Styela clava: one gene and its partners. The protein of the gene in region 2 purifies or fractionates together with the protein of the main gene of each other region. This does not show direct contact. Links are inferred from orthologs where the notes say so. Each region holds a gene or a part of one and is shown on either strand. Other genes may lie near its edges.

Region 1 (7,391 bases), on a different chromosome or scaffold from region 2:
CCTGATCAATTTTATCAGCCGAGTATATTTAATTTCGACAACGTACTATGACAAATGAAACTGCATAGGCGATCAAACCGCCGGGATGCTCTCCACTCTGTATCCTAAGTTGCCGTCAAATATATTTGAATTTACTGCTTATCGTGATGTATTTCTTCCACAGCCTGTCTACAAACTTAATCATTGTTCTCTGTGTGGAATTTAGGACTCGCCCATGTTTTACGCCACCACCCTTCAATAAGCACAAAACTGTCATATCACCCTTCAATGAGCACAAAAACGAGATTATACGCACCGCTGCGCAAAATTAGAAGAAGGTTTGCTACTAGCTTCACAGTGGTCATTTTCATCTAGAAATAATGTGTACAGCTGTTTGTTTACAAACTAACTAGCTACCGGTAACCAACCAAAACCAAAAAGTGTGTGGAGTCCGATCTCGATATATGCGCGTAACTTTGACCTTGGGCTAAATTTTATTTTCTTCCTTGAAAGTTTCATGTGGCTGGTTGTCATGGAGTATAAATTGCGCCTTCGATTTTGTACAAGGAGGTTGCCTATAATTTAATATTTCTCATCAAATAAAATAATCGCTCGATTTAATGTTGCATATGACAATAGATAAGAATTTAATCGATGCAATTGTACAGAAGCACAGCTGAATGATATGGTGAACTATTTTTATAATTAAACAAATAATACCTCTTTGGGTTTCACACCTACAGACCTAGTACAACTTCAAAATCTACAATATAAATATACCACGGTATAAACATCTATAACACCTGTATAAAACAATGTATCACAGTAGTCTATCACAAAAATTACTACAATTAAGACTAGACAAATTATGACTAGTGAAAGCACTGGAAAGGACATTAGACAATTACCCAAATAGTATTGCTAATCCATTTAATACACAAATGTCGAAAACTGGACTATCTAATTCTCTCCAATATCATATTTGACAATTCCCAGTATTGTCCAAGTGTACTTGGGTTGGACACATGGGAATCTCTGTATTTATCCAAATTGTGTTTGAAAATATTCACAGATGCACTTGACGTCACATTTAATAGTAAGCTGTTCCAGTATTTTACGACCCTGTTCCCAAAAAAGTTCAACTTTGAATGCTGATTTTGTCTTACAAGGTTACCAGTTCTAGGAGACTTGTTGAAAAATTGTTGCGCATATGTACAAAAACCATTTAGTATTTTGAAGGCTTCTATTAACTCACCTCTCATTCTTCTTTCTAACAATGTTGTCAGTCCCAAAACCTTCAAGCGGTTCTCATAACTCTGTCCTATACAACAGCTTATTTGTGCTGTAAACTTCCTCTGAACTGCTTCTAGATTCATTATATCGCCCCAGTTCCCATGCAAATTAGCCTACTGTATCAATTGAATTTCCCGACTTTCATTTTACTATCTCTCCCAAATCATGTATGAAGATTCATATCAACCTTGTTGGTAAATTATTGAGGGACTAAGTTTCTCTTTGTGTTTATTGCTTTTATTTCAATTTTTTTATTGACTCATTTTGAATCTTGGTGTCGCAGACTTTCTGACTTATGATGACCATTTCTGGTCTATCGCGACTTCCAGTCAATTGCAATGAAATCCATTACTGTAATGCATAATTTTTTTTCTTATTCTGAATTTGTGTAGTGATTTCTTGCACGACGAAATAAACGTATTGTCTATTACATGCCGTCTCGCTCATCACACGCACAGTTGTTTTTAACTACCTAACTAATTGCACACAATTTAAGTATGAAGTTAGAGGAAATGCTATTATTTTGTTATTGTGTATTACTATACTAGATATGAGATTTGGTTGCATCGAAATGCAGTAATTTTTTAAAATGTGATGCCAAGTGTTAGTTTAATAAACACTGTTAAAAACTGAAAAATGCTTCAAAATGTCAAAATAAAGTAGAGCAACATAGGAAATTACTTAATTTCAAAAGAGAGCTAAGTTTATAGTAAGTATAATAGAAGTATACCTATAGAAGAATATGTATACAAATGTCCATCCATATAAGTGTATGTAATTGGTAGATATATAATAATTTGAAAAACTTGTTTTTACATGCTTCATCTTAATAATAATAATATTGTAATCGTAAAAATGATGCTGATTACCACCTACCGGTACCCCGGTATATGAATTATGGAAAAAATGGATGATGACGAATTCTTCCTTGGATGTAAAACCATGTATATCATATTAATAATGTACTGTTGATAATTATTTTTGGTAATATAATATTTATGTTATTTTTCATTTAAAAAAAAATGAAGACATATTCTGTTCATATTTACATTACTGGAAATATTTCGGAATTTTCTTATAAGCCTATAATTATATATTGTCTAAAACCTATCAGTGTTGTTCAGAGGGCTAGTACTGTCGTTACAGATCTATCCGCTCGTGTGATATTAATTGACAAGAGTATGTCGTACTTCAATTTTTTTTGCTCAAAGCAAGGTCTTGCTACCTCGGAAGTAAATTAGACTGATTTCTAAGCAAAGTTAGGGCTGACACTAAAATGCCTTAGCTACTAATTTAGATTGATACTTGTAGTAACTAATGGCTATGTAACAACTTCATGTATTTCAGAAAAATGGCAGATATTCAAGAGGAAATTAAATCATTACTTGGACGAGATGCATTGAAAACTGATTGGATAAAAATAGCAGAGGTCAATGCAAATCCAAACAAACCACAGAATGTACATCATCAAATTGAAATATCACTGGATAAATTGTACACAGGAATGAGTGTCAGAATTCGCGCAGACAAAAAAACACCATGTACCTCTTGCTCGCGTGGTATTAAGAAGCACAGCTGTGCTGTATGCTCAAGCACCGGAAGGTCCGATCCAGGAATTTTAAACAACTGTACGAATTGCGATGGTAAAGGCTTCAGACTTCTTACATGTGATGTTTGTTTTGGGCAAGGGACTCTTCAGAAAGAAAAATACCATGCTGTTACCATACCTCGCGGGGCAAGAAATGGGCATCAGATTTGGATAAAGGGTGAAGGTGATACAATGCTTAATCAACCAGATGCGGCAAGTGACATTGTTTGCACTATAAAAGAGCAACCACATAGTAACTTTCGAAGATGTGGACATGATTTGTATATACAAAAGAATATTTCTATAACTAATGCGTTATGTGGTTTGAAACTTGTTTTTACACATCTTGATGGTCGAAAAATTGTGTTAAAGACACAACCAGGAACAGTAATAAGGACAGGCGATATGCTTTGTGCGAAAAATGAAGGCATGCCGGTGTTAAACTCCAAAACTGGTGCAAAGGGAGATCTTATAGTTATGTTTAATGTTCTATTTCCTAAAAAGTTTGAAGATTTGTCCGTTTTACAAAATATAGAAAATTATCTCCCTAAGCGAACAAGCCCTGATATCGCAAGTAAAGATTTAGAAGAGTTTGATCTAACCCACTTTGATCCTAAAGAAATAGTTTATGCAGTGCCATACCGACAACAAGAAACGTATGAAGATTCACCAGCAAAGAAAAAAACGGAACAGAAAGAGGAACCTGAAAAATTACCTACTTGTGCACAACAATAGTTCGTTTCTATCAGTCGGGGTGATGGGGTTACGCAAGACCATTTTTTGTCCCTCCTCTCTGCCTTTGCATCAGTGGACCCATTATGTGCGTATAATTATGCAAGATTGCTGTAGCAGGAATAAAGAATTTATTATGTACTTAATATTTCAATTATGCTTCTTCTGTAAAGAGCAATGTCAATCTAAAATTACAAATGTATCAAAAAATCATGTTGGAAAATGCATCGCTGGTAATTATTCACTTGTGTATTTTATAACTTGATTGTGCTGCCTTAAATCGTGTCAAGTTTAGGCTCCGAGTCTTTTTATATTTTGTTCGAAGCTAGATCTTGCACGTAAAAAAAGACAAACTGTCATCAAGAGCTATGTCACAGATGACCACTGAATTATGCTATAAGCTACTAAGATCATATAAAACCGACTAGCAGGAGTGTAAATTTCCTTTTGATGGTGAGGAGTCCAGCAGTATTTCACCAGCGTTTATCACATACCAGATTTAAACGATGGAACCATACACTGCATCTACTGTACATCTGTAAATACTGTATCACTGTTGGCTTCATGAAGTTCTTTTACTGTCTTTAATTTTGTCAGGATAAACAAGAAATCATATTTATACTCCATTAATGATCCTTACAAACTACCATTTCACTGCGATAAACTATTTTTGCAACTTTCTATTATTGCTCCATTTTTTTTTTCAGAAAAGTCGTAGATAGGTTTAGGGACATTTCCATCATTTCAATCTTCAAATATATATTCTGGTACGGTAGTAACAGGTGGGGGGTCATAGGGGAAAACATTTTATATATTTCATTCTATGAAAATCTGGCAACAAGGAACTATGGCCTCCAGCACTAAAGTAATTGAAACAGGAGCAGTGGATACACCAAACACCAGTGTTCTAACTTCACCTGATATGACTTGTGGAAAGTCACCTGGATCAGGAAGATCTTGGTCTAATCGTATGGAGCCTCTTATCTCGTTTGCTGATGTAATGAGTGAACAATTGGCAGACTCCATTGTTCAAGAAGAATATCAAACTATAAAAGATGATTTCAAAGAACCGATAGATGATATTGGTAAGATACTGGATCACTGTTTAAGAAACCAGAAATGAAATTTATCAAATTGCCGTAGTCATGTTAATAGTGTTGGATGCCGTAAATTGGAGTTATTTTAGAATGAAAAATTGATATGTGAATGCACAAGTTCAGGTGAGAAATAAGACAATAGTGAATAAATCCATTTGATACAGATGGTAATTTTTAAAATAGGGTAATGTTGGATTTTTAATAAAAGTTTAATTAAAATATAGAAATTTTTTTATTTCTAAGGATATTTTGAAGCAATAAGTATTCACCAAATTATAACAATAAAAAGTAACAGAGTAGAATAGCTTTTCCAAGTTTTGCCATTTTGGGCTGGAGTGCTCGAATATCAATTTAATTATGGTACGAATATTCCTTGAAATGGTAACAACAACATTTTATTTCCAAGCTGCAAACCTAACAAGTTACTTTGGGACACTTCAAAATTCATTGCACGAACTGCTTAAAAATAATTCTTTTATATTTAGAAACATCAAATCAGCAACCTATTGTTTTGGGAGATGGTTTTCCTGATACATCCAGTGATGAAGCACTTGCTCTCATGTTACAAGCAGAAATGGACAAAGAATATAATGAATACATAGCAAAAGAAGAATCAAGAGTAAATCAGTATTCAAAGGTTTGATGGAATACTATATATCAATGAGCAGGGATGGCCAATTCGAATAAAGTATTCGAATATCTCATCATTCGAATATCGAAATTCACGTTCATAAGAATATCGGATATTTGTGTGACGTCACACATTTTCGCCGCCGCTTTCGAGACGTTTCCGTTGAATGAAAACATCCTCGATAGAAACTTGCGCGTGATTGTTTTCATCACTCATCAGCGAAACGTGTTATTTCCTCTAAAACGAAAATTTCCCACAAATTTGTTCCACGATAACGATAACATTTATTCTATTTTTGTACGCGCACGTAATTGTGAATCTGGTAAGTACGTTCATTGGTGGCGAGTTTCTAAAGACAACGCAACATTTTGATTGAAAAGTGGCACAATATAAGTTTTGTTGAGGCCCGCGAAAATTTAAAAAACGCTTTTCTAGGCAGTGAAAATCGCAAAATTTCGTGTGCCTCTCGCACACATTATGTTTGGTCGGTGTTTAGAAACATATCGTCACTAATTGAGGGCGGGATTTGCCTGATTATCCAATACTTTAAATTGCCGTCGAATATTTTCGTGTTAACACGATACAAGGTTTGAAACGCGACTTTTTCCCGGGTTGTGAGGATGTATATAATATAATTAATCTGAAGTATATTCGATCAATTTTATTGTGATGAAATAAATTTTACCTTGAGATATTACAGCATATTTATGAATTTTTCAAACGGTTTTCATCTAAAAATAATCAGAGTGGCAGCATTCCGATCGAGCGGAGTCACTGTTAACAAGTACAGCTAAATATTTGCCGAATTCGCAAAATACGGATCAAAACAATATTTAATCGAACAGTTTACCTCACGTTTTTATTTTTATGACCGCGGATTGCAATGGTATATAAGAGTGGTGAGGATTTTATTTTGTCGACGCAACCGCAGGTTAAATTGAAGACAATTAAATTAATAAAGCAAGACATTTTAAATATGCCCGTGTCGGTCACGAATTCATCACTTTGCACAACAGAAAAATATATATTCGTTGTCATATCTTTTGTTGTAAAAGTCGACTCTTTTAACAGGTGGCATAATCGCGGCGATGAATATGTATTTTTAATTTACTGCTAAACTTTATATGTATATTCATTGTATGAAATGAATTATACTCTACACTTAACAGGATTTTATATAATTATTTGAGATTTTTCTAACGGCGATAACGAGTTGGCAAGATTGCAAAAATACGTATTAATATTAAATACATCAGGCAGTTTATCTCTTTTAATATTAGGTCACAGATCGCCGTGGACCGAATAGTAATGTTTTTTTTTTTGACGCAAGAAGAAGCAACTGCGAGTTACGTTGGACACATTAAATTAATATATAAAGATATTTTAGAATCTTGTATGTCATGGATTGAATTTTTTACGTAACAGAATGATCATTACACGCTGAAATGACGGCTCTTTTAACGAGCGCGAAATCGCGGTGGGTGTTACAGGCGGCAATGGGAATTTTCGATTTCGAAAATCCTGGCTGCGCGCTGGCAGTGGTGGTCATCTATTCTCTACTAATTTATTTCTAATTCCAAACACAACAATATTGTTCCCATAAATTAATATACAAATATACTGGTAGGTTGTAGAATACTCTAGGCTTAAATATTAGAATTTTTAAAGGCATAATGGATTTTCGATTGTTGTTGGCTGTATTGCCAATAAATTTTATTACTCTCAGAAAATATACACACTTATCTGAATACAAGTAGTATGTTTGTCAATAGACTTAGAGCTCCTTGGATATATTTTCATATGGTCATTTGTACAAAGTGAATAATTTTAATAAACTGACTGTGTCACAAGTTGTCATTATTTTTTATTGATAGCTATAAACTATCAATTACTTTGTGTACATATACTGTTGGTTTGTGGCTTCATTCTGATATTTCTATTGAAGCTTATTTCCTAATTTACTGGGTTTTAATCAACTAAAACAAAAATGTGTTATTTTCGATTTTAGAATGTATTCGGAATTCCAGATTCGAAAACATTATTTTAGAATGTATTCGGAATAGTTTAGTAT
Region 2 (7,507 bases):
TTATTTGGTCCACAAACACAAACATCAGTGAAAAAGGAAAATTGACAAGATTTCATTGCATTGCATGATTCTAAAACAGAACATTAGATGTAGTTCAAAGTATTCACCCACTCAGTTTATCTAGTTAGCACAAAATGTTTGACAAGTATTAGAGCTGTAACAATTTCAAAATTTGTTTCTGAGATGTAAGAATGGATAAAAGTATATAAATCGGCTGATACTTTCCAATTTATTAAGCTTGTACACTTTTATCAATTTATCACAACAATTTTATTTTTCATTCAATTCCATACATCAAGGGCATTTTCTCTCTACACTAGATTTTCCAGCTTCTTCGTATTCTTGTTTTGAAATCCACATTTGCTGAAATGTTCCTAAAGAAGCTAAAATAGATCCACCGATCCAAGGTGAAAACTTACGTTCAATAGAATTTGTAGGAGCAATAATTTTTAATTTGGCACTTGGTGGTGTTTTGTTTGACAACTCAGCTGTGAGCCTGTCAGTAAAACCTTGAACTAAAGTATTACCACCAGTTACAATTACACTACTGTAAAGTCCAAGTCGAATATCGACATCACATAATCCTACTGAAGATGATACAACGTGAGGAACGCCAAGCATAGAATTTCCTTGGATAAGTGATGGATCAAAAAGAGCTTCTGCAGCTTTCATACGCTCATGGCCAAAGTCTTGATGATATCCATTTGGGAAGCCATAGTGACATTGAGGCATTCCCATAGCATCTTGCTCAATGTAAGGTGTGTCTAGGAGTTGTAAAACTGATGCAGCAAAGTCCTCAAGAGTGTAATTCATCATGTACTTCTTCCATGATTCTGTAACTTCTGGAAGATCTTTTTTCTTTTCCCAATCTGGTTGACCTCCTTCTTTGGCTTCTTTTTTTGAAGCGATCATGTATGCAGGGATTACATCAATGTTTAAATTTTTCATTACTTCTCTACATTGCATAAGGATGAAATCGCCACCGAGCGGAGATTTTACGATTCCTTGTTTGAGAACATATCCATCGTGTACTGGTACAGCAGTTGTGTGGGTAGAACCGCTATCCAAAACAACCCCAGTTGATCGCCCATTAGCAAATGCTGACAAAACAGGGGATTTGCAAAGAAAAAAGGCAGGTACATTATATTTCTCAAACATTACTTCCGTTAGTTTTTCTCGCTTGTTTCTTGCATTCCAAGCTGGTTCGGAAAATAACACAGGATGTAAGTTAGATTCGCTATGCAAGCCACGTTTGTAAGTATAGTCCAACATAGATTCAAATAAATCCCAATCTTCTATCATTCCATCGAGAACGGGTGTGACAATTTCAGTATCTTTCCTTGGAGTCAACAAAGCACTTGTACCAAAATGCAACTTCTTTGTTGGCTTGGATTCTTCTCCTTCAACTTCCATTTCTTCTATTGCTTGGGATCCAACATGAGTAGGAAACACTGATTTGGGACAATCTTCTCCTGCATACCCAGCACGGACAGAATGTGATCCAATATCAATGACCAATGCACCGACTTCATCTCCACCATATATACCCCCACTCATGGTTTCTATTTATTGAACTATTAACTTACTTAAAAATTAAAATATTCAATGAAACAAATGATAATATGATTATGAGTTTAAAAAGAGATAAGAGAAGAGATTTCTATAGGGAGAAAATACAACAATGTATTCAGCTATATCGGATTTTGAAAATTTCCTTTACCTTCCATAAACTGAAATTCATGAATCCATGACTGAAGGTATCTTGACCTAATGCCACAAATGAAAATATTTGAATTGGTAAAAAAAATGAATGCTAAACCACTAAAGTTACGGATATGCGAAATATATGTGAATACTCCAAAACACAATTGTTAAAAATAAACTCTTTTCTTCTGTTTAATTGCAAAACTTGTTATCACTAAACATCCAAAATGAAGCTTTCAAGAGAGTACGCAGGGTGAAAAAGGCAATTTGGTATGGACAGAAAACGCTGGTTCTATAAATAAAATCGATTTGAAGCTGTTTAATTAGTAATCATGGGAACATGATACGAGTAACTCAGAGCTGAAACACGTAGTGTGTGTGGGGTTCTTATGATAGCAATACCTTCTTTCAACGGGTTGTGTAATCTCTTATGATGGCAATACTTTGCATTATCCGTCTAATACAATAAAAAATAATTGCACTCTTGCATTTTGATGGCTGTTGTACAGTAACAATATGGTCAACGAATAATAATGTCATAAACTAGCTCCGAATTCGTGACCTCCTTAAATGTAAATTTGAATTTCTTGGGCAACAGTTTTATCTATATGAATGGTTGTTTATCATTTTGGTGAAAATTACACAAAAACCCTTAATAGTTAAGACTAATGATACAGTGATAATAGGATTAAAATAGCACCTACAGGCTTTGCATGCCCTAATAAAACTAAATCCATTAGAATTGAGTAAAGGTATTGAAAGTCTGTGCAATTTCCAACACTCAACATAAACAGTTTTCAAAATCCAAACTTGGGAGACCTCTGAATTTTTTGACCAGTTCATGTAGGTATGAGATCTTCTTTTATAACTCTGGAAACATAGTTTTGCAAAATATCAGCAGTATTTTAGATGTAACTGCACGACATGTTATCACAATATCGAAGGGGGAGTTTTTACTGTACAATATGGACATATTTGGGATTGCACAATAATATTCGATTAATTCGAGATTCAATTCAATAAAAATATTTGATTCGACTCAGCAAAATATTCGATTTTGGGGAGCCCTAATAAAGGGTCTGGTATAGTTTAGTACCACATGTACTTCTAGTTGACCTGGCTTAACAATTTTTGCATATGTCAATCCTAACCCCACCTGACTACGTCACCGAAAAATTACGTCATTTCGACGTCACAGTGGCGTAATAAGGCCCACCGAAGTATGCGGATGCTTGTCCAAAACGCAGACAATCACCCGAAATCGAGCAAGCAATTTCTCTCGTTTTCTCGTCACAACGATCACTATAGGAGAGAGATCGCCGACTTCAGCAAGTTCGTTATCGGCAGCGCAGATGTCATTTCGAGCGATCGTAATTCTACTTTGGCAATCTCTATGACGTGATGGTGACGTCGTAGTGACGTAATTTTTGGATGGCATAGTCAGGTGGTGGTTAGGAATAAAATATGCAAAATTCGTTATGCTACGCCCACCGGAAGTACTTGTGGTACTAAACTATACTAGACCCCTAATAAATACACATTTTCAAAACTCTCATTGCATCATTGAATTCTGGAATTCGGGTTCTTCATAATATAATTACAGTTATAATACACAAGCTGACAAGTGTCTGAGTTTCTTTTTAATCCCTTTTTACTGCGAAAATTTTTAAAGATAGATTGTTGCTAATTCCGTGATTATTAAAAAATTAAATTTTTTCACATAACCAGCTAAAATTTCTATAAATATTTTCAAGCAATCAAATACAGAAATACATTTAGACTACTAAAAGGATTTACAGAAAGATTATAGAAAATAATAAAACTTGAAATTCATGGCATTGAAATTTCTTTTTCAGATATAACTTACCGTTCAGCCGTTATTGTCTCATTGTGCCATCTCATATTGATGTGCTGTCATTGGACGTTAAATCTCAAACATTATATCAATTCTCATGAACTCCGGACTTTTAGAAGCTTCCTTAAAAACTCTGGTGTTCAATATTGTATTCACCAACTATCCATTTTGATTTAAAGCTCGGCATTTGGCAATGATTAAGTCGTCCAGTCATCTTATCGGCTTCCCTTTCCCCCGGGATAAACATGAACACGTTAGATATCATCACGCTTTGGATATCATATCCCAAAGCCGAACAACATGTAACATCGCATAAAATAGGCATAAGCAGCTCCCGCCACTAAATTGTCACATGCCAGATTCAAAAATGATTAATTAGCGATAAAAAATGCTTCACAAACATTACCGATAAAACACAATAGAATATTTATTGTAATACAGTTTTTGTAACTTTTTAAATTAATTTGCAATTGTAATATTCAACTAATATAAAGTAATTTTTATTTATATTGCCATTTGTTATGCGTACGATGAGAAGTTGGCAACTGAAAGATGAGATAGGCTATATTTGCGCCACGAAATGAAATTTAAATATCCGGCTCTTATGAGAGCTGCTGATTAAAAAAAGTATGTCATTCACATAATGATGAATTACTTGTTTTTCATTAAATTTAAAACTTGTTGCAAGTTTTTTGAAAATAAGCAAGATATATAGAGACATGTTTTTGAACATTTTCGATAATAGAGGAAACTCGTGAAACGACGAATCAATGCTTATATTGGAAGTGCCATGTCGGACAAATGTTCGCGTGTTCTGAGGTAAAATGAATAAAACACAGGAAAAAGAAATAGATGATGAATTTCATTTGGCGAATAAGCAAAAACAATTGCAAATACCCAAATATGTTTTTGTAAAGGGGAAAAGGTAAATAAAAAATGGGTTTCTGGGTAGGTATCAATAATACCCTCTTCATTGACGCTATTTTTATCTTCATAGATGGTATTTCGTGAGACTGCTTTCACTCTTCTTGTGGATAAATATAAAATCCTCTCTAATATACGCAACTCTCAGCACATGTGGCCATGCTATCCGACAGAAGATAGTAGTTGCCAGATATATGCATTATGAGTTTCCGACATACAAAGTTTTGTCGCCAAATTTTATCCGTTTAAAATAAAATCTTTTGTTGAATATTATTTTATTTATCATATTACTATAAATTCTAATATATTCAAACAATTACATGTAGTATATGAAATCATCTCTACACAACTATAGTAGTTTTCTTGGTACAATCTGACAACTGCCAAGCCATTTCAGCCTTTTTACTTCACGGTCTCGTCTAGGTAGGTCGTGTTTTATTTGCAATATTGTTTTTATTGGTTTCTTTTTGAAATTAGCCATTTGTATTTATATGTAATTAGCACTTTTGTTGAAAAGAATTATTGAAGGTTCAGTAAGTTTTTGTTATGATGCTGAAAAATGTTCCGTTTGGGCAGACTTTGACCCATATTGCAAGATAAATTTCAGGTGCCACAGATTTTAACATTGAGAAATCTAAGGCTTAAGTTATTCAGTATATCTGGTTGATCTCCAGTCTGCTAGTGGGCAAAATACTTACTTTTTGAACTCTGGATAATGAATGTTTCGTGTTATTAGAAAAGGATTTACATATTTATCCCGGGGGAGAGAAAAGTCGATAAGACAGCTTAACCATATGGTGAACCACGGCCTCTCGTCCGGTTATCATTCCATGTTGAATATGGGATTAGTTAGTTCTTTAGAAGCATGGACTTGATGGTTGAGAAAGCCGTAATCAACCAGCGGTTACGTGAACCATTCTACGGCGGTGAGGAGTCTAGCAATTTTCTCGAACATAACTATCCTTGTATGGGATTCGGACATGCGAACCTACGCAGAGGTGCAGTGGCGAGCGTATTCCTAACGCTTAGCAGGATAATCCCCCCGCCACGCTCTGATATATGGTCAAATTAAATGATTTTGAGCTTTAAATAATTTAAAGTATTTTGTTTATGTGTGAAATTTTGGTATTGTGGAAAACTGTTATGTATATATAAAAACAGTTAAGCCCAACCACAGAACCAAGTCTGATTAAACATAAATATCTTTCATTGAGGCAGTTATTGCTTTGGCTCACAGGCTAGTTGTAATTTGACATAGTACTTGTTTAAGTTTATATTATGAAAGCGAAATATACACAACACACAGTGAATCACAGTAACTCACTTTAATTCTTTATTTTTCAGGTGCATACACTAAGCAGTCATGGAGCAGATGACATTACGTGGTACCCTTAAGGGTCACAATGGATGGGTGACTCAAATCGCAACTACTCCGGCTTATCCAGACATGGTTTTATCATCATCTCGGGATAGAAGTATTATATTATGGAAATTAACAAGAGAGGAGGGAAGATATGGTGTACCACAGAGAAGAATGACTGGTCATTCCCACTTTGTTTCTGATATCGTTATCTCATCAGATGGCCAATTCGCTCTTTCTGGATCTTGGGACGGCGAGTTAAGATTGTGGGATCTCACTTTGGGAGTTAGCACTCGTCGCTTTTGTGGACATACTAAAGATGTCCTATCTGTTGCATTTTCCACTGATAACAGGCAAATTGTATCTGCCTCTCGGGATCGCACAATTAAGTTGTGGAATACACTTGGTGTGTGCAAATACACCATAATGGATGATGGACATTCTGATTGGGTCTCCTGCGTCAGATTCTCACCAAATTCAGGCAACCCCGTTATCGTGTCATGTGGATGGGATAAGATGGTTAAAGTTTGGAATTTAACTAATTGCAAACTGAAGACCAACCATTATGGCCACACTGCATTCTGCAATGGCGTTACCGTTTCACCTGATGGATCTCTCTGTGCTTCTGGTGGAAAAGATGGACAAGCTATGCTCTGGGATCTCAACGAAGGAAAACATCTTTATACTCTAAATGGCGATGGTGAAATTCATGCAATGGCTTTCTCACCAAACCGATATTGGCTTGCTGCAGCATGTGGACCTTGCGTCAAAATCTGGGATTTGGAAGGAAAGGTTATCGTTGACGAGCTGAAACCAGAGCTTATCAACATGCCAAACAGCAAAGCTGATCCACCAGAATGTCTTTCACTCGCTTGGTCCTCCGATGGTCAAACCCTTTTTGCTGGTTATGCCGATAACTTGATAAGAGTTTGGCAAGTATCTGTACCAGCACATATTAGTTAGAAGGATCATGATTCTGCATGAATTATTGGAATACTCATTCGACAAAATGAATGGGAATAATGTATAAGAATGTGTTCCATACAAAAATTAAATATTCCAACCAATACTTAGCAGTGTATTCATTCAACTGTGCCATCGGGTAACAGGGGAGTTGAGCAATGAGACGAAGTAGTTGCAAGAGGAGATTTGAGTACAGTGTTTAGCGTAGCATGTAATGCTTGTAACCCAGTTGTGATACTGCTAGTATTTGGCTCATATACATCAGATTTTTATACCACATGCGTCCAGAGATTCTCATACGCGTAAGCCCTTGGCAGTCAACGGAACTCAATATTCTGTAGAAGATACCGTTCGGTGTGCTATATATTTCGTATTAGGAAGGATTCCGCTACTGAAAACCTCTACTAGCTAAAATAGCCAGCATATTAACTAAGCAGAACTTATCGGACTTGTTTTATTCAACCAGGGTCTGTGATGATACACTTTAAACTAGGTACTTTTAACCTGCAATGCGTGTACAGTAAGTTAGTCATAGGTACGAAATTACATATCAAAGGTACACTATTTAAATTTTTGCTTCTGCTAGGTCACACAGCATGCATCTTTCCACTTCTGTGCCTAAACATGCTACAATACTATCATATTCAATCACAGCATTCGGAAACATGTAACCAGCTTCAACGCTGCCATCATATACATAA
Region 3 (8,022 bases), on a different chromosome or scaffold from region 2:
CGTGACACACAACGGTTATGAAGGTGCAAATAAATAGAGTCTATTCATATTCAAAGAGCTAAATAAGCTGGTATGAGAAATTTACACACTGTATGTAATGAAAACCTATTGCTCATGCTTCCTGCCTCAAGCAGATGGTATATTGGTGCCCAAAGTTACATAAAAATTTTAATATCGTATTTAATTTGTATTCATGTAACATATGGCTAAATAATGATTTTATGGTGTTGGGTTTTGAAAATTGAAGATAAAACAAATTTTTATTAAAAAAAAAAATTAGTAAAAATCCTGCATTTTCGCATCATTTTATAAAATTAGGAAGAAGAAAAATTCACCTTTCTTTGATGGATTTCTTTGATAATTTTCACAGCTTTCGTGACTCCATCTTTATCACCGGTGACCACAATCTCATTCTTTCGAACACTAGGAGGTGGAATGTGAACACGAACTCCGTTTTCCTAAAAAAAAATTTTTTGGGGTTATAGCTGTCAATACATATTTTCTGGTTTAATTGTTTTGTGTTGTAAGTACGGGTAAATTTAGTGGCAATATCTATCTTTAAAGCTTTGATAATCTTCTTCGCAAATTGAAATTTATGTTTCAACAAACCTGTTCTATTTTCTGAGAAAGTTGATTTCTTGGTCCACTGATAAAAGGGTGAAATTCTTTTTCAACATTCAGCTTCTCAATAGCAAGTTTTGACTGAAAAAGTTAAGCACAAAACATTAAAAGTATGAAAACAACTATGAGTTTCAAGTTTGCAAACGGTTTCTAATTATTTTTGAACACTTTACCAAATCACAATGTTACTAAATAGCTGATACGCATTGTAGCACAGAACAAATTTTTCAAACGAAATATCCAAAAATCAACTTTAAGTCAAAATTTTTATGCAAAGTAACAAAATTTCGATAATATAAATAAAGTAGTAAAAATAAAAAAATTATTAAAAAAATCAATTCTATTGAACACTCAATAACACGTTACCTGTTCCTCTGATATGAGTTGGATTTCATGTCTTGCTCTACTAATTCCGTCTTGAGTACCAATGATCGTGATGGTCCTGCTAGTGTCTTCTTGTCTTGGGACGTTGATTTTTGTAGCGGTATCAAGTTCAAGTTTTTGCAATTTGCTCCCACCCTTTCCTAAAATGACTCTATGGTGTTCTTTCGGAATATCTAAGGTAACTCTAGCCTGAAAAGATTGAATTAAATTATGTTACATTGAAAGTACTTCAATATATAACAAGCAAGCTTAAATAAGCTGGTAGTATTCAATCACACCTTTGTGAGTGTGATGGGCCAGCAGTTAATGTATTAGAATTGACTGTAATGATATGGCTGGTTTTACATATTAGTGACAGCTCGACTCGTACAGTGCCTTGTTCATAGCAGAGAAGGTGTGAATGAGCACTACATGAAAAACCTGCTCCGACTTTTTTTTTTTATTCTTGTGCTTTCGCTGTTTAACAATCGTCAAATAAATAGAGGATTTTTAAATTTATTTTACATTAGTTAGCTAATACGAGAGAAAAATATCAACGAGTGAACTTATTCACCTGAGTCTGAAGTCTGTTGAAAATGTCACGTCTGGCTCTCAAAACAGCATCCAATTGTCCAGATACGAGCAATGAAAGAGATCCATCTTTGCAAGTCGACATTTCGATATGAGCTCCTGTTTTTTGCATAATATCGAGACAAGCCTTGTTTTGATCTTGTTGGGATTGGCCAAAATTTTCGGTGTGTTTGAATGCTCTTTCCTCCATTGGGATTTGGAACAACTGCAGAAAGTTAGAATTATTATATTTACATTAAGTTTCTATTTCATCAATAAGCAATAATAAAAACTACACATGTTACAACTGAATGTATATTATGAGCGCATCAAAGTTTTAAGTGATCATTTTTACTAAATGATTTTTTATCACCTCTCAAATATATTATCGCAAATCAAACCTAAAGTATGATTAAATGAAGCTCTCAAAGTGAAATGGCTACTCGACTGGAACTCTGTTACACTCAATTTATCCAATAAAATCAACCTATTAATGAAGTTCCTGCATACAGCAATTTTGTTTGTTTGTCTAATAGCCATGTATATTTGTACAATCAATTTAAACAGACAATCAGACATAATATAGTTAAATTTGAAACAGCAAATTTATAAAATTATTTCTTTTAACAGAATATAAGCGAGTGATGAATGGCTTTTTAAGTAAGCAAATTGTTCAAGAGAAAAATGGCAAAATAAATCATATTTGATAAATATTAAATAACGAATTTGTATAATGGAAACAAGATTTCCAAATAACCTGGGTAACAACACTCGATTTCAATCTTTGAACTTTAGGGTTGACCCATTCATTCGCAATTGCAGTTGGACTGCCTGACCGATTAACGGGGGCCAAAGCGGGAAACGCTTCAGCATAAAGGGGTACTTCTTCATGGTTATCTGAAATGAAAATAATAGTTTATTATTGAATCTACCGATTACAACTGATTAGAACATTTGATTTTATTCGATTAAGTTCTGATTCAGAATTCAACCTGAAGATATCTGAAAGCATAATTCTAGAAGTGAAGAAAAGTATACTTCATTAAATTCAGGTCTTCTTACCAGAACCATTTTGTTGAGCAACTTCAGAATTCATAGTCTTTGTCCGTTCACGGTCGTGCACTCCTGAACCCTAGTGTGAAAAAGTTGAATATTACATTAGAAAATCTCTATTTGTTTTATACAAAACAGATGTTAATATGCGAGGCAGATTGCCAATTGAGAAGCGGACATTTTTTGAAAAATTCAACAATTCAAAATGTTATGTGATTTATTTTACTCGAACAAAACTTCCAAACAAGAATTCAAAGCTATGAGGGGAGGGGACAGCATAAAAGAAAAAATTGTGTATAACTGTATAGGGTAACAGCTAAATTACGTAAAATTCAATTTTGACTTTCACTTACAATATAAAAAAAGGAACAAGTAGCGCTATCCAAAGGTCGGTCCGGTTTTTAATCTTACTCTGAGATACAGTTTGATTGATTAGGAATAAACCTGAAAACACAGTACATTGTATCAAATCACATATTAATAAATCCATATTAATTCTTCAAGTCTGGACATTTGAAAAACTAAAACTGTAAAATGGCTGTCCTCCAACAATCTGCAGATCTGGCAAATGGACAATCAAAACACTGAAATTTCATTTATCTTTCTCAATATCATATTATCGATGACTAAATTAAACGCAACCCAACACTAACTAACTAAAATATCATCTTCGAAAAATCAGAACACTTTATCAACCCTGCCAACTAGACCACTAGCAACGTCAGCAACCGACGTCGAGTCACAAACTAATGTTTTTCATTCATCGGAGTTCTGCTACGTGGAGCGGATGTGACGCCGCATTTTGTTACGGATGAGTACCTTTCTTTGCTGAGGGCAAACTGAAGGACCATCTAATATGTTCGTCCGATAATTACCCAAAAATCGTACCGTTTTACTTGAAAGACTCAATAAGATAAATACTTTTCGATAACTACCGCTTACTGGTAGTTTAAGCGTTTTAGAAATTAATACAATGGGTATGAGAGATACACAGTTTATTTTTTTTTTAATTAGTTTTCTGCTTTGTTTCTATTGTTCGTTTTTCGGGATATTTTGTCGTGATTTACCGATGAACTTTGGCGTATAATTTGTATGTGAGCAGACGAGAGGCCGTGGTTCGCCCGTAAATAAATACTATGATCAAGCCGTCTATAGGTTTTCCTCTCATCTCGGATAAATATGTAAATCCTATCCTATCCAACCCCCCTGTTTTATATGAATAGCAATATGCAGTTTTTTGAAATATGATTTAATGTCTATTTCGCTCAGTCCTAGATGATGATGTGATAATGAACAATTTGCTTGTAAATTTGCTCCAGACTAAGTTTCTATTTCATTTTTTACATTCGTATATCATGTTATGCTATTTGATCTGATGACACTGTTGAAACAAACTCACTTATTTTGCACGCGATAACTATATTTTAGGAATTGAGCTATATTTTAGGAATTGATTGGTATTTTAATGATGTTTGTAGTGAACGGATGTTTTAGTTTATATTCTTCCTCATATTTAGATATCGCTCGTCGTCGAACGACTCATGGGTGCTTTAGTATTAATTTATTCGATGCCCGGATAATATACAAAATCCACAATATATACGTAATTTTTGAAACGATATATGCCGTGGATTCAAATTTTTTGTCAGCCGGTTCCTTCACAAAAGTCTTTTTTATTAGCCGGTTCTGTTGCAAACAGAACATTAACAGTACCCAGTGATGCTAACCGGTTCGCTGATCTCATAAAATTCCTTGAGACGGTTCTATAGAACTGGTACGAACCGGCTGAATCCCACCACTGGACATATGCAATTGCGTTTCAGACTAGACTCGTGCCACGCGCCGATCCGTGGAAGACATAATGGATAAACTATTCTCGGGCCCAATATAGACCGGTAACTAACGGAAAGTCGCGTCTTATGTGGCCAGGGTATAAAATTAAATTGCAATGAATTGACACAATCTATACCGAAGTGGCAAACCCAATGTTTACTTACAACTTTCACGGGGTCCATTTGACTGTTCAAATGCTTCTGGCGTTATAGATATCTTCAGATATTAATTGACAATTCTCCCAACACCTGGTATGTGTTATCCAGCCTTAGCGTACATGTGAACTTGCAAATAGACTCGCAATTACACTTTGGCATCTTCGCATCCAGTATGCTCCCCAGTTTTTCCCTTCATGGGAGTCATTTCCAATTTTAGGGGATGGTAAATATTTATTTGGTATTAGCAATAAAGCTATTTGTATCCCACAAAAGTGTTATATATCTGACAGACTATCTGAGCCGGTATATGCGCCACATTTTGGATATTGGAATACAGTTATGAAATTTTATGGTGGGGGTGCAAGGAAAGCACGGTTTGCACCACACCGATACTTCTATAGAATAACGGCTGACCAAAGAATATTTCTTCAATAGACTGAAATTAGCACTAACAAACCATTCCCAACAAACAGAACAGGCAAATGCAATAACTTTCAAAACATTATTAGACCAGAGGCCACCCCATGAACGAAGTAATTCTTGAAAACTGCACAAAGTTATATATCACGATGTTAACAGATCACGCAAAGATTTGAAATTGAATCACAAATAAAGCAAGTTTTGTTCGTTGATAATGTTGCTTAGAATGTATTCCAATTTCAAATCTCTGAATCGTGACCTCTGAAACTTAACTGAAATAAACAAACACAATAATTTCAACTCTACGATCGCCGGTATATAAATAACAGAAAGTTAGCACTTGAAGGTATGCGAAGGGCAAAAGTGCTTCAATCCTAGGTATGTTAAAACAAAAGGAAGTCATAAATCACTCTTTTCTACTATGAAGATATCAAATAATATACTAGTACTTCAGTTTCTAGCTTAGCGCGCATATTGGTTACAGTAATAGAACAATTACTACCAGCTTCTATATGAAATTTGAAAACTTAATAAAGTCTGAACAAACTTTAAACTGCAATGAATTTTGTATGGACGTCAGACAACAAATAAGGCTTCTTTATAAACGAAAAATGGATGTATAACGAAGTTTGGTCATTAGATAGTTTTGAAAAATATGAAAATTGTTCACAAATTGTTCATATTTTTCAAATCATGATTTTTTTTATGTGCTGGCAACAACAGGCTTTCACGTAGTTGTCCGTACGTACAGTGACTAGTGAGGTTTTTTCAGCTTTACAATTCGTCATGAGATTCTTCTTCGGTTTTCTTTTCTTCTTCACCATCTCCCTCTTCCACTTCATCCTCACCATCATCTTCTTCTTCATCCTCCTCATCAGCATCTACTTCCTCCTCATCTTCCTCTTCTTTTTCCTCATCTTCAGGCTCCTCCTCAATCTGAATTAGAGAAATAATATTTGAAAATCCCGCCTAACAAGGAATCCAGAAAAGTACTCGAAGACAAAACTACTTTTTATTGCAAACTTTTGCATAGCCCATTGAACGTTTGAATCTAAAATCACATCCATATATATTTGATGGATTTGAAAATTGGGAATAGCTAGTTGCACAAGCCGCCGAGGTGTGGAGCTGGTTTGAAACTCAATGGTATAATACAAATTTAACTTCAAACTTTTTAAATTATGGTTTAAAATGAAATCGGAAAAGTAAATATAAAACTGAAAAGGTTAGATTTTATTATTTTTATGAGGTATTAGAAATTTATAAATGTGAAACATAATCATCAGATAGTTGGGAGCTAGAAACACTAAAATTTCTGGCAGCTATGTCTCCGACTTTATCTATTAGGGTAAGCTTGGCTCTAGCTAAAACAAAATCTCATGGTTCCAGATCCCCAGCCCTGGCACAAGCAACAGGCGTTGGAACTTTGCATGTGTGCATGCATTACAAGATTTATGTCACGTTTTGGAAAAATAGGACAAGCATTAAAAAGAGTTATCATCATTTGTCAAAGCGAACAGAGAGGCAGAATGTGCTTCCTGCTGCGGATCATCGCTCCAAAGTTTGTTATAGTTATAAACTATAAAATTTGGGAAATAAAAATACTATCAAGCTATGTTAACCTTGGACTTTCACAATTTTTGTGTGTAGAGACTGAAACTTCCAAACAGAGATGGAAAATGACAATTTTATGTTTAATTAATGTGTAATCTATATGCAACCCTAAAAGGCTACTTTTTACTTTCTGGCTATATAATATTATCACAAATGGCTTCACGAACTTACCGGAGTGTCTGGATCAATGTTGAGATTCTTGTAGAGCATTGAGAGAATACGTTTGGAGAAATCAGCAGAATCTTTCAATGTATATCCAGATCTTAATACTGCTGCATCAAACATAACTTGCGCAATTGATTTTGCCTGATCATCAGCATTATCAGCCTAAACAAAAATATGTATGAGGTTACAACTCAATCATTCAATTTAAAAAATAATCTACAAATATAACAGATGTTCATAAAGTCTCGTTGAAGTCAAGTTATCTAAATATCTTTCGATCAGTGTTTATTTCCAAGTTTCATTCAATACACTTGCAGGAGCCAACAAACCATGTGTGGTGTAGATAATTTTTTTTGCAATTCGAAAATTTGAGACTTTACGAAAGCCCCAATACTAAGCGTACTAAAATATTACATAGGCAGCCTTTTTTTGTCTTTTATATGTATAGACAAAGTAAGGGTAAAAATAACTGCACATACGTTCAAAAATTGACATAGATTACCATGAGCTATTGAAGATTTACTGAAAATTGACATATTGCCCAGGTTTTCACAGTAGCGGTTACAAGTCCATAAATTCAGATAGTCCAAGTCAATTAATCCAGCCTCCTAGCACTGGTTTTTAATACACATTTGCTCAATGCAGAAGTCTCAAGTCTGAAACCAAAACCGGGAGCAGAACCGACCGGAAAGCTGCAGAAATCCAGTCACACATCAAAGAGCAACACATGCTTTATCAGTGACCAAGATTTTAGTAGACACCCCTTTTCATGAGAGTTTTACTGTCAAGATTCACGAACAATAACCAAAATTCGATAAAATGTAATAAATTCAGTAACAATACACTGAATAAATCATTACCTCAACCCTTTCCAGAAGATTCTTGATCAAAGGATGTCTTGGATTAATTTCTAAAGTTTTCTTCTGATTTGCATAGAAACTGAAATCATAAGTCAAATATCACTACACATTCAAAAGTCAAATAATAGTCATCAAATGACATATAATACTCTAATATATTTAAAGCTATGTCTAAAATGACTACAAGCTACATTTTTGTACATTGGATCAAAATTGATCTAATGGTTTAAATTTCAGTCTTCCAAAACTGGGAGCTACGCGACTCACGATTCTTTTTTAGTAGCATATCGTTGAGCACTTTGCAAACGTTCCATATTTCCAGACCTTTATTACAATAAAAGAATCAGTGTTGAAGTACAAAAAAA

What was found. Proteins that work in one complex are often made in the same cells at the same time.
Region 1: the proteins of small ribosomal subunit protein RACK1-like (region 2) and serine/threonine-protein kinase RIO3-like purify together in Homo sapiens (affinity purification with mass spectrometry; 3 studies listed by BioGRID and IntAct, counting the BioPlex papers as one, with this or other methods). This does not show direct contact. The link is inferred for Styela clava from reciprocal best matches to the Homo sapiens genes RACK1 and RIOK3.
Region 3: the proteins of small ribosomal subunit protein RACK1-like (region 2) and vigilin-like purify together in Homo sapiens (affinity purification with mass spectrometry; 3 studies listed by BioGRID and IntAct, with this or other methods). This does not show direct contact. The link is inferred for Styela clava from reciprocal best matches to the Homo sapiens genes RACK1 and HDLBP.

What each region holds. Positions count from the first base shown.
Region 1 is NC_135258.1:13,577,158-13,584,548, reverse strand, and holds the start of serine/threonine-protein kinase RIO3-like, read left to right. Parts: upstream 1-4,280; 5' UTR 4,281-4,415; coding exon 4,416-4,677; intron 4,678-5,174; coding exon 5,175-5,326; intron 5,327-7,391. Other genes in the region: uncharacterized protein LOC120338848, read left to right, coding at 2,170-2,234, 2,620-3,595.
Region 2 is NC_135260.1:11,114,581-11,122,087, forward strand, and holds small ribosomal subunit protein RACK1-like, read left to right. Parts: upstream 1-4,779; 5' UTR 4,780-4,906; intron 4,907-5,827; 5' UTR 5,828-5,846; coding exon 5,847-6,806; 3' UTR 6,807-6,912; downstream 6,913-7,507. Other genes in the region: actin-like protein 6B, read right to left, coding at 295-1,557. UniProt on the Homo sapiens protein: Scaffolding protein involved in the recruitment, assembly and/or regulation of a variety of signaling molecules. Interacts with a wide variety of proteins and plays a role in many cellular processes.
Region 3 is NC_135256.1:9,777,282-9,785,303, reverse strand, and holds the start of vigilin-like, read right to left. Parts: upstream 3,112-8,022; 5' UTR 2,961-3,111; intron 2,687-2,960; 5' UTR 2,651-2,686; coding exon 2,617-2,650; intron 2,452-2,616; coding exon 2,312-2,451; intron 1,781-2,311; coding exon 1,559-1,780; intron 1,195-1,558; coding exon 988-1,194; intron 703-987; coding exon 610-702; intron 459-609; coding exon 336-458; intron 1-335. Other genes in the region: endoplasmin-like, read right to left, coding at 5,793-5,954, 6,804-6,959, 7,658-7,736. UniProt on the Homo sapiens protein: Appears to play a role in cell sterol metabolism. It may function to protect cells from over-accumulation of cholesterol.